Callithrix jacchus: one gene and its partners. The protein of the gene in region 2 purifies or fractionates together with the protein of the main gene of each other region. This does not show direct contact. Links are inferred from orthologs where the notes say so. Each region holds a gene or a part of one and is shown on either strand. Other genes may lie near its edges. The genes, in order: EXOC6, EXOC7 and EXOC6B.

The links.
Region 1: the proteins of EXOC7 (region 2) and EXOC6 purify together in Homo sapiens (affinity purification with mass spectrometry; 4 studies listed by BioGRID and IntAct, counting the BioPlex papers as one, with this or other methods). This does not show direct contact. The link is inferred for Callithrix jacchus from reciprocal best matches to the Homo sapiens genes EXOC7 and EXOC6.
Region 3: the proteins of EXOC7 (region 2) and EXOC6B purify together in Homo sapiens (affinity purification with mass spectrometry; 3 studies listed by BioGRID and IntAct, with this or other methods). This does not show direct contact. The link is inferred for Callithrix jacchus from reciprocal best matches to the Homo sapiens genes EXOC7 and EXOC6B.

What each region holds. Positions count from the first base shown.
Region 1 is NC_133513.1:85,429,914-85,434,091, reverse strand, and holds the start of EXOC6 (exocyst complex component 6), read right to left. Parts: upstream 2,836-4,178; 5' UTR 2,672-2,835; intron 2,366-2,671; 5' UTR 2,238-2,365; intron 1,777-2,237; 5' UTR 1,710-1,776; coding exon 1,625-1,709; intron 1-1,624. UniProt on the Homo sapiens protein: Component of the exocyst complex involved in the docking of exocytic vesicles with fusion sites on the plasma membrane.
Region 2 is NC_133506.1:131,987,805-131,991,451, forward strand, and holds part of EXOC7 (exocyst complex component 7), read right to left. Parts: intron 1,188-3,647; coding exon 1,124-1,187; intron 900-1,123; coding exon 858-899; intron 751-857; coding exon 617-750; intron 373-616; coding exon 270-372; 3' UTR 1-269. UniProt on the Homo sapiens protein: Component of the exocyst complex involved in the docking of exocytic vesicles with fusion sites on the plasma membrane.
Region 3 is NC_133515.1:40,663,101-40,666,747, forward strand, and holds part of EXOC6B (exocyst complex component 6B), read right to left. Parts: intron 2,251-3,647; coding exon 2,167-2,250; intron 1,831-2,166; coding exon 1,784-1,830; intron 398-1,783; coding exon 277-397; intron 1-276. UniProt on the Homo sapiens protein: Component of the exocyst complex involved in the docking of exocytic vesicles with fusion sites on the plasma membrane.

The DNA of each region.
Region 1 (4,178 bases), on a different chromosome or scaffold from region 2:
AAGTGTCTCTGTAGCACTTATGGCCCCTACCCACTGTTTTCTGCTGTGCTCCCAAAGCCATCCAGGCAAGCTGTGTTTCTGGTAGCCAAGGAATGGGAAGTATAATGAGGGTGCAGGGCTTGGGGAGGGAGGGAAATGGCTCTCCTCTCCTTGAGGAAGGGCACATGGCTTTCACTTTCATTCTGTAGTACAATATTTATTAAAAGCTTACGGCAGGTCAAACATAGTGCTGGATGCAGGGGACACAAATCGTAAGCCATCACACTGCCATGTTGATGCCAGAGTCCCCTGTGGAACAGGCCTCCATGGGCCAGATGAAGAATAAACATAATTATACTAAATAGTTTATGTAATTGCGACACCAAATAACATGAACCAGAGGAAAACATTTTTTGTTTGTTTTTGAGACAGAATTTTGCTCTGTTGCCAGGCTAGAGTGCAGTGGTGCTATCTCCGCTCACTGCAACCTCCACCTCCTGGGTTCCAGGGATTCTCCTACTCCGGACGTTCCAGTGTCCAGAGTAGCTGGGATTACAGAAGTACACCACCACACCCAGCTAATTTTTGTATTTTTAGTAGAGACAGAGTTTTACCATATTGGCCAGGATGGTCTCAATCTCCCAATCTCGTGATCTAACCACCTCGGCCTCTCAAAGTGCTGGGATAACAGGCATGAGACACCACACCCAGACAACTTTTTTTTTTAACACTTTGAAAGATATAAAATATATTTTATAATGCTCATTTCCCCCAGAAAACTGAGGGAGAAATGATACTTCACTCAGCTTATTAGTTTTCTAATGTAATAGAATAATATGTTACATACACAGAAATTGCTTATACCTGATGCTGTATCATAATTCCTTCCAGATATAATGCTAGATTGAATCAAGGCAAAAGATTAAATAAGATAAGCAAAAAAACCTCAACTCTTTTCTTACAGCTAGAATTAGACTTGATTTGATACCTTCTTAAGAGTGCAACCGATTCAGTGAGGAAATTCTCATTACATTGACCGGTATAGTAATTGAGGTTTTGGGTGTAACTTCTCGGTGACAGTTTCCTTATCTGGAAAATGAGGTTGATAACAGCCTCTACTTCATAGGGTCGTTGATGATTAAATGATATAAAGCAAGTGAAAGATTCGCATAATATTTAGCAGCACATAGTACATGCTCAGTAATTCATTAATTTAACATATATTTACCAAGTGCTTAATAGGGCAGGCTGAAGATACATAGCAGTGAACCAAACAGACAAAAATCCCTACCCTCATGATGTTCATATATCAGCAAGAAGAGACAAATAATAAGGCAGTAAAAATATTATATCCCATTGCATTAAGTGAAATAGAAAAAATTAAATTGTGGTTGGGGATAGGAAGAGGAGGTTGCCATCGCAAAAAGGCTGGCAAAGGGAAGGCCATGTCTGAAGGAGAGGAGGGAGCAAGCCATGAGGCTATATCTGGTGGGGAAGAGAGTTCCAGAGAGAGGAAAGTGCCAATGCAAAAACAAAGATAACTGTGTGGTGGGTAAAGCAAACCTAGGTCCGCAATCCCTGATTCAAAATTCTGAAATTCAGAATCTCTGGAGTTCAGTCATGCATACTCCCCACCCTCTCTCACCTCCAGGCCTGTGGACAGGACCGTCCTTCTCCGTGGAACACCATTCCTTTTCGTTTTCTTTGGTTGGGAGTCCCTGCCACAGCATGTGCTGCTCACCCCTTATTCCAGATCTGTCAGCTCCGTTACACTCCAGTGCTACTGAGTGCCTTGACCTTAGGACACAGGGATTATTACTCTTCTATTTATGTTCTCATTATCATTATTATTATTATTATTATTATTATTTATTTGAGATGGAGTCCCACTCTGTGGCCCAGGCTGGAGTGCAGCGGCTCACTGCAACCTCCGCCTCCCAGGTTCAAGTGATTCTTCTGCCTTAGCCTCCGGGGTAGCTAGGATTACAGGCACCTGCCACCACTTCCGGATAATTTTTGTATTTGTTTTAGAAGAGGTGAGGTTTCACCATGTTGGCCACACTGGTCTCAAATTCCTGACCTCAAATGATCTGCCTGCCTCGGCCTCCCAAAGTGCTGGGATTACAGGTGTGAGCCACCAGTCCCAGCCTATGTTATTATTATTGCTTAATAATAAAATAAATTAAACATTTATCCCCGGCTGGATGGGAGCAACGCATTAGGGCTCCAGCAACATTCCCCTCAATTAGGATTCTCACCTCAGCTAAAAGATGAACATTTCCATAAATTTCAGGAAAATCTTGGCTCCAGTAGTGACATCTAAAGAATGGAGATTAGTCATTTTCCATTCTAAATGGGGAAGTAAACTGAATGAAGATGAGGAATCCTGAAAGGCAAGGAGGGGAAAGGAGAAAGGGAATGAATAAGATGAGGAAGGAAAAGTGGGGAGGAGAAGGAGGATGGAAGGGCATAAACCCCGATAGAAAAACACAAACAAGGTTATGAGCATCTCCTACTGCAAGCGTCTGCGAGCAGCAGAGGAGGGACCCTCTGCCGTTAACTCTTTCCCGTACTTGTTCATCTAAAAAGCTGACTTCAGAGAGAATGAGATTTTTGAATACTTATGGTTTTTCAAGGATACCAAACTCCCCTTCCAAAATAAAAAGGAGTCTAAGGAATGGATAGAACATACGTTTTAAACAAATGTTTTTAAAGTGGGAAGCGGCTTCATTGGCTTTCATCTGGAAAGTCGCGGGATATTTGCAGTGACTTCTTTTTGTTTTTTGTTTTTTTTTTAAAGTAGCAACGCAGGAAAGCGTTCGGCTGCTCGCGGCGACGGCCGGATGCTCCAAAGTCAAGATCCTCCGCAGACAGGAAATGCCTCTGCCAGCTCCAAGGTCCCCTTGCCGCAGCCCTCTGTATTGTCCAGAGAGATTTGTGTACATCCGACTGAGCAGGTTTCCCGCCTGCAACTGCGAACCCAAGAGCTGTCTCAAAAGAAGGAATCACTGGGGCTGTCTAGCTTTTCTGACTGACACTCGGGCCCACTGCGTGCATGGGACGGACGCCTTCTCTCGGGGAAGCCACGCTCCGCTCTAGGAACTGAGGGACGGAGGCTGAGGATGAGTTTGTCCCCCGGGGCCCCAGCCAGCAAGAGAGGGGTAGGGATTCCATCTGTCTTGCTGCGAGCCATGCTTGCATCCACAACGGTGTGATTCTGGTTTTCCTACAGCCACATGTGAAGGGGTAGCTGCTCTTCTTTCTGTGGACCTGGGGTCTCAGATCTTTGGGTGAGTAGGAGGAGTCTCCAAAGTGCTTCTTATTTGGGTTTATCAACAATACAAAAAAATACATGTCAAGGGAAAAAATTAGACATATACAGAGTCCAAATGGGACTTCCTAAAACCTCTATGGACTGAAAAATAAATATCAGTACAACGTGATTATTTTGACTACAAAATACTGAACTCCTAGTCTTTTTTCTTTTTTCTTTTTTTTTTTTTTTTTTTTTGAGACAGTCTTACTCTGTTGCTCAGGCTGGAGTGCAGTGGCATAATCTTGGCTCACTGCAACCTCCGCTGCCGGGTTCAAGGGATTCTCCTGCCTCAGCCTCCCAAGTAGCTGGGATTACAGGCACGTGCCACCACACCCTGCTAATTTTGTCGTTTTAGTAGAGACAGGATTTCACCATGTTGGCCAGGCTGGTCCCAAACTCCTGACCTCAGGTGATCTGCCCGCCTCAGCCTCCCAAAGTGTTGGGATTATAGGTGTGAGCCACTGCACCTGGCCTGAACTCCCAGTCATTTAGAAGCATCCTGGGTGATTGTTTGGTTTTCACATTCTGTCCCATATTGTCAGTAGTCACATAAATAACTCCAACCACGGATTTAAAGGCTCATTGATTATTAGATCTTGAAAAAAAATCAAAATCAGGAGATTTTGAGTTCATCAATTTCCACATGGCAATATATCTGGAATGGGAATTTTAGTGTCTTCTGTCCCCAGCAAAATGCATTTTCCCCAAGTCCAAATAAGTTTTCTTAAATCCCTATCCTGCCCAATCATGCCCTAAGATGAATATTCACAGTAATGAAAACCACACACACACACAAAAGCTTGTCAGAAAAGTTGAAAGAGAATAGGTACTTTCACTATCAGAGATGGTTTCCTCTTTTCCCACAAGATGTGTTATCAGCTTT
Region 2 (3,647 bases):
CTTCTCTCCCTTCCTGTTTCAGAAGCCATCAGGGTCACCAAAGCCAAGGTATGAAGGGACTCCAGGCTTCCAGGAGAGTGCTGGTTTGGTTGGGAACATAGGGTGTGGGGAAAGAGTGGAACCCAGGACTAGATGGCTCAGGGACATGGCTCCTGGATGGGGTGTTGGAGATAGGACTCTGTCCCAAAGGGGCCAGAGGCAACTTAACACTGGTTTATCTGTCCAATGACATGTCAGTCTGGTGGAAACAGGCAGGGCTAGCAGCAGGCTCAGGCAGAGGTGTCGAAAAGGCGATCGATCATGTCGCCCACCTGCTCCACACCGTACTTGATGTACTTCTCCGGGTTCTTGGTGAAGGGCACACTGCCGAACCTGAGGGGGCACTGCCGTCAGGGGACAGGGAAGCCGACCCTCCCCAGCACCACCCTCAGCCTAAGGCACTCCTGAGAGTCTCGGAAGGTGTGACCCAGAGTGATTCCCTGTCCAGCCCCGCCCCAAAGCCCAGGGTGCTGGATCTGCGGCCTAAACCTGTCACCCTTTTCCTTTTGCCCTTGAGGAAGAGGAGCTCAAAGAGCCCACTGTGGCCGTGGGCAGCACAGGCTGGGAAGGGGCTCACTTCTGCAGAAAGGCCCCATAGGTCTCCTTAACAATGGTCTTCTGGGCCTGGCGAATCCTGTCCCTCTGCTCCATGTCCGGAATAGCCCAGGCCTTCTGGATTTTGCATAGTTCTTCAAGGCCATCATTGAAGCCCTGGCCACCAAAAAGGTGAAAAAGGAAGGGACCCAGAGACAAAACTTTGGGTCTGTGTTGTCTCAAAAACAGCAGCAAGCAGTGGAAAGGAGAGGACCTCAACTCACCTTAAAACGCTCCTTGATAATCTGACGCTCCTTGTCCCGGAGCTGGGAAGCCAGGAGAGATAGTAGAGAAAGCTCAGTTCAGAGCAGGGCAGCCTGCCCGCACTCTGTTCCAAACGCCCTTGGCCTGGGCTTCTCTCCTGTGCCCTGATGGCCATACACATCCTTTGCTCTCTGATCCCAGAGGGACGCTTGTCCTCTTTTCCCAGAGATACAACAAAGTATCCAGTCTGCTAAACACCCATTCCCAGCCCAGGCCTTGAGCCCACCTTGACTCCCGGCTGGAACACAGGTAGATTCTTCTCTGCGATGTAATCGGTCACCTTTAACCAACTGCCGGACAGAAAGAGAAGCATGAGGGCAGAGGACGGCCTGCCTCGGTGGCCTGGTTTGTGTCATTTGCCAAATCTCTGGATCTACTTAGTGGTTGGTGGTAGGAAGGGATGTGGGTCACAACTAAGCAAAACAACAGATTCTCTTCCTGGGAATAGAAAATGTTTAAACAGCCCAGACGCAGTGGCTCTCACCTATAATCCCAGCAATTTGGGATGCTGAGGCAGGCAGATCACCTGAGGTCAGAGGTTCGAGACCAGACTGGCCAACATGGAGAAACCCCATCTCTACTAAAAATGCTAAATTAGCTGGGTATGGTGTTGCATGCCTGTAATCCCAGTTACCTGGGAGGCTGAGGCAGGAGAATCACTTGAACCCGGGAGGCAGAGGTTGCAGTGAGCCAAGGCTGCGCCATTGGACTCCAGCCGGGGTGACAAGAGTGAAACTCTGTCTCAAAAAAACAAAAAACAAAAACAAAAAAAACAAACAAAAGAGAAAATGTTTAAACTGGTCACTCATTGAGAAAACATAAGGAAACATTTGAGTGTTCAATAAACTGAACAAATACTGTCAACTATATTTCACATCAGTATCATGGCAAATTAAGACGGAGAAACAGATGGGAAAGAAAGGAGTGAGTGGAGGGGAGATAAACAAGAGGGAAGAGGGAGACACACTCAAAGGGAAGAAACAGAGCCAGGAAGAAAGAGGACCAGAGAAGCACAGAGACCCCCACAGAGCCAGGAAGAAAGAGGACCAGGGAAGCACAGAGACCCCCACAGAGCCAGGAAGAAAGAGGACCAGGGAAGCACAGAGACCCCCACAGAGCCAGGAAGAAAGAGGACCAGGGAAGCACAGAGACCCCCACAGAGCCAGGAAGAAAGAGGACCAGGGAAGCACAGAGACCCCCACAGAGCCAGGAAGAAAGAGGACCAGAGAAGCACAGCGATCCCCACAGAGCCAGGAAGAGGACCAGAGAAGCATAGAGATCCCCACAGAGCCAGGAAGAAAGAGGACCAGAGAAGCGCAGAGATCCCCACAGAGCCAGGAAGAAAGAGGACCAGAGAAGCGCAGAGATCCCCACAGAGCCAGGAAGAAAGAGGACCAGGGAAGCGCAGAGACCCCCACAGAACCAGGAAGAAAGAGGACCAGGGAAGCACAGAGATCCCCACAGAGCCAGGAAGAAAGAGGACCAGAGAAGCACAGAGATCCCCACAGAGCCAGGAAGAAAGAGGACCAGAGAAGCACAGAGATCCCCACAGAGCCAGGAAGAAAGAGGACCAGGGAAGCACAGAGATCCCCACAGAGCCAGAAGGAGGACCAGAGAAGCACAGAGATCCCCACAGAGCCAGGAAGAAAGAGGACCAGAGAAGCACAGAGATCCCCACAGAGCCAGGAAGAAAGAGGACCAGAGAAGCACAGAGATCCCCACAGAGCCAGGAAGAAAGAGGACCAGAGAAGCGCAGAGATCCCCACAGAGCCAGGAAGAAAGAGGACCAGAGAAGCACAGAGATCCCCACAGAGCCAGGAAGAAAGAGGACCAGCGAAGCGCAGAGACCCCCACAGAGCCAGGAAGAAAGAGGACCACGGAAGCACAGAGATCCCCACAGAGCCAGGAAGAAAGAGGACCAGAGAAGTGCAGAGATCCCCACAGAACCAGGAAGAAAGAGGACCAGAGAAGCGCAGAGACCCCCACAGAGCCAGGAAGAAAGAGGACCACAGAAGCGCAGAGATCCCCACAGAGCCAGGAAGAGAACCAGAGAAGCACAGAGATCCCCACAGAGCCAGGAAGAAAGAGGACCAGAGAAGTGCAGAGATCTCCACAGAACCAGGAAGAAAGAGGACCAGAGAAGCGCAGAGACCCCCACAGAGCCAGGAAGAAAGAGGACCACAGAAGCGCAGAGATCCCCACAGAGCCAGGAAGAGGACCAGAGAAGCATAGAGATCCCCACAGAGCCAGGAAGTGGACCAGAGAAGCACAGAGATCCCCACAGAGCCAGGAAGAAAGAGGACCAGGGAAGCACAGAGACCCCCACAGAGCCAGGAAGAAAGAGGACCAGAGAAGCGCAGAGACCCCCACAGAGCCAGGAAGAAAGAGGACCAGCAAAGCGCAGAGACCCCCACAGAGCCAGGAAGAAAGAGGACCAGAGAAGCACAGAGATCCCCACAGAGCCAGGAAGAAAGAGGACCAGAGAAGCGCAGAGATCCCCACAGAGCCAGGAAGAAAGAGGACCAGGGAAGCGCAGAGATCCCCACAGAGCCAGGAAGAAAGAGGACCAGGGAAGCGCAGAGATCCCCACAGAGCCAGGAAGAAAGAGGACCAGGGAAGCGCAGAGATCCCCACAGAGCCAGGAAGAAAGAGGACCAGGGAAGCGCAGAGACCCCCACAGAGCCAGGAAGAAAGAGGACCAGGGAAGCACAGAGATCCCCACAGAGCCAGGAAGAAAGAGGACCAGGGAA
Region 3 (3,647 bases), on a different chromosome or scaffold from region 2:
GAGTATGTATAAAGTATACAAAATAATGTCTGACTCATAGAATAATCAACAGACATTAGCTGCTGTTTTCTTATTGCAAAGGGCATCTATAAAAGTAGCTCAGTGGAAGAAAATGTGACAATTTGAAGGAGCTACTTCTATATCTTTGAAGGACATATATAGCTTCAAGTGAGTGACTGCAAAGACACACATATGCGGATGTTAAAGCAGTAAAACACTGAATAGCAGATAGATAATCAGCTCTAAATAACAACTTCTCTTGGGCTTCTTACATACCGAGTGGGTACGGAGTGCTGCGATGGTTTTTGAAAGTGCCATTTCCCACAGTTCATCAATGTAGGCTCTATTAACTAAGCCCTGCGTTGTATGTAAAATGTGATCTTCAACCACAAAAAAGCTAAGATTGAGGAAAAAAGAAAGCACAGCTGTCAGAATTTACAGTTATATTACTATCTCTGGGGTTTTAAAAGCATTAAGAGATAACAAATGCAAAGTTAGTAGTCATTGTTTTCTTGAAATGACTACTAACTACTAACTAAATGAAGAAAGTTATTTGGTTATCTGAATATCATAAATGAAATCAGACTACTTGGACTAAAAATTATGTCTGTGATTATGATATCTTCTTAACTACTCCTAGAGATATTAAGAGTTACATTTGTATTACATTTCTATTAAATGTTAACAATGATATCCAGTAGTTTAAAAGAGGAAAATGTGTAGAGGTAACAGAGGCAAATTTTGTTATATAAGAAAACACCAAGCCATCAATATATTTCCATAAAAGCTAATATATGTTATATACATCATATATGTTATGTATTATTTATATATATATTTTTTAAGAATCCAATGCACAAAATATCAAAATAATTCCCTCATGCAAACTCTCTCATCAAAGTGTTGAAAAGGCATCATATAAAGGTTTCAAAAATGCAAAGTTATTTTTCAACGATCTTGTTGTTGCTTCTTATTATTATGCATTTAAAATGTACCTTTCATTGTCTTGCCTAAATGTCCATATTAATGAAAAAAACTTCTTTATTAGAAAATTTTTATGATAAATTTTAATAACTACTAATTATATTGAAACAAATCTGAAATAAAACAAACCTGATGATGAATCCAAGTTATTTCCTTTTCTGTTTACTGCAAAGTCATTATTTTGGAATTTGACCAAGCTGCCTATATTGGGGTGTTTATTTGGGAAATGCAATTCCATACCACTATATACACTCTAGATGAGGGTGGCAAACTGTATTAGCCCGTGGGATAAACCTAGCCCACTGCCTGTTTTTATAAAGATTGTTTTATTGGAACATAGCCATGCTCATCATTTATGTATTGTCTATAGCTACTTTTACACTACAACAACAGAGCTAAACAGTTGTGACAGAGACCATACAGCCTACTAAGCCTAAAATATTTTACTATCTGGCCCTTTTGGAAAAAGTTTGCCAACTTTTGATGATTATTTGGTTCCATCTACCAAAAAGAAAGAAACAAAACATAAAGTATAATAAGATTACAATTCAATGTTTTTCTCACTTTATCCACAAAGTGCCCTACAACAATATAATATTGAAACCAGCAGAATGTTCCTTTTAAATCATTAGAAAATCAAAAACAAACCTTAAGAATTTAAAAAAAGAAAACAAATTTTAAAAAAAGAAAAAAAGAATTTCCCAAGGAAAACCTGATTTATTTTTCCAACTCTCACAACTTTCTATGTATTGAAAGTGTATAAATTTAAGTAAATAAATATATATATATATATACCTACCCTACAATTTGATTAAAATACTTCCTGTAGCCGTCTAACGTTTCATGCTGCAACAAAGCAAAGAAGAAAGTTATTGTTTCTGTTCTGTTACTTTAAAAAAAAGTTAAAATCAGTCACTTAATCTCTTAAGGCTCAGTTCCCTAGATGATATCTGATAAGGTAAAAATACTAATGTTATCTGCCAATGAAGCGGAAATGGGACAGCATATATCCAGTACTTAGAACACTGAGTGACACATAGCAATCAATCGATAATGTTTTCATACTACAAGTCGCATCCACCAAAAGTTATCTGAGAATGACAGTATACACACAAACACACAAGCATCAAAAGATACCAAGGAAAAGTAAAAATGTGAGAAAAGTGAAGATAGTAATCCTACCATGTTAGACGGAGGTTGAAGTACCAAACGAGCCTGTTTTCGCCTCTGTTTTCGGTAGTAATTCTCAAATGTTTCCCGGGCACCCTGTAAAATAAAGAAAACGGAAATGGTTTTGACACAATTGAACCAATTACTTTTATATTTCAAGGGAAAAGAGAAGGTCCCAGGTCTGGAATTTGGTAGTACCACATTTCTCAAAATCTCTATTTTAACAGTGATGATAATGATAGAAAATAAAAATAACTATTGCCATTTATTGAACCTTACTTACAAACCTGTAAGGGTGGGTATAAAATATCCTTACAAGGAAACTGCAAGAACTTAACCACCAGTACACCAAAGCTGGTATCTGAATCAACTATCTCAAACTCATAAGAATGAAGGGAAACCAACCTTTCCATAGGATGATAACAGGTAAGAAAACATTCCTTAAAAAACTCACAAAACATTCCAGAAGGAAAATGTCCAGAATAAAAACCAGCTTTCAAACGAATCATGAACAAAGAGGCAATGGGAAGCAGAAGAAAAGCAGGAACTGAGAACAGCATATTAGTATCCACCTTAGGGGATAATCTAGCACAGGATTAAACCCAAAAAAAACAAAAGCATGAAGATTCTTGGTACACAGTTCCTACTTTTCATTTATGGTATCTGGGCTTAAAATGAGAAGTTCTCTACAGAATCACATCTGACTCATGAGCTGTGTACTGGGTTGAAAAGTGGTCTCCCAAAATTCATATCCTTCATGGAACTTCAGAGTATAGTCATGTTTGGAAATAGGGCCACTGTAGATGTAATTAGTTAAATTAAGATGTGATCCTATTAGTGTAAGGGACCTTAATGCAGTATGTCTGGTGTCCTGAAAAGCCAAAATGAAAAGACAGAGATACACAGGGAGAACATCATGTGATGACAGAGGCAGAGAGTGATACAGCTGCAAGCCAGGGAACATCAGAGATTGCTGATCACTAGCAGGAGCTGAAGATTCTACCTAGTCTCAGGGAGAACATGGCCCTTCTGATGCCTTGATTTTGGAATTATAGCCTCCAAAACTGGGACAGAATACATTTCTGTTGTTTTAAGCCACTCAATTTATGGTGCTTTGTTACAGCAGCTCTAGGAAACTAATACAAACTCAATGTATTTAGATTATCATGCCCCATTTATTACTGAATTCTATTCTTAATCCAAAGCTTTTCTAAATAAACAAGAGTAAAAATGGAAAGACAGTATACCACAGTGGTAAAGAGCATTGATTTTGGAACCAGAGGTTATTACATATGAATCGTGATTCTGTCTCTTACTAGCTATACAACTGCTATAAATAGCTGTATAACTTCCTTCTACTAATTTAAGTTCCACTATTTAACTTTCACTAATAGGTGTGCCATGGTTTTCTCATTTGTAGAGATGCCAACATCATATGGTTGTAATGAGGATTTAGAGGAGTTATAAAGCTCTTAGAACACTATCTCATGCAA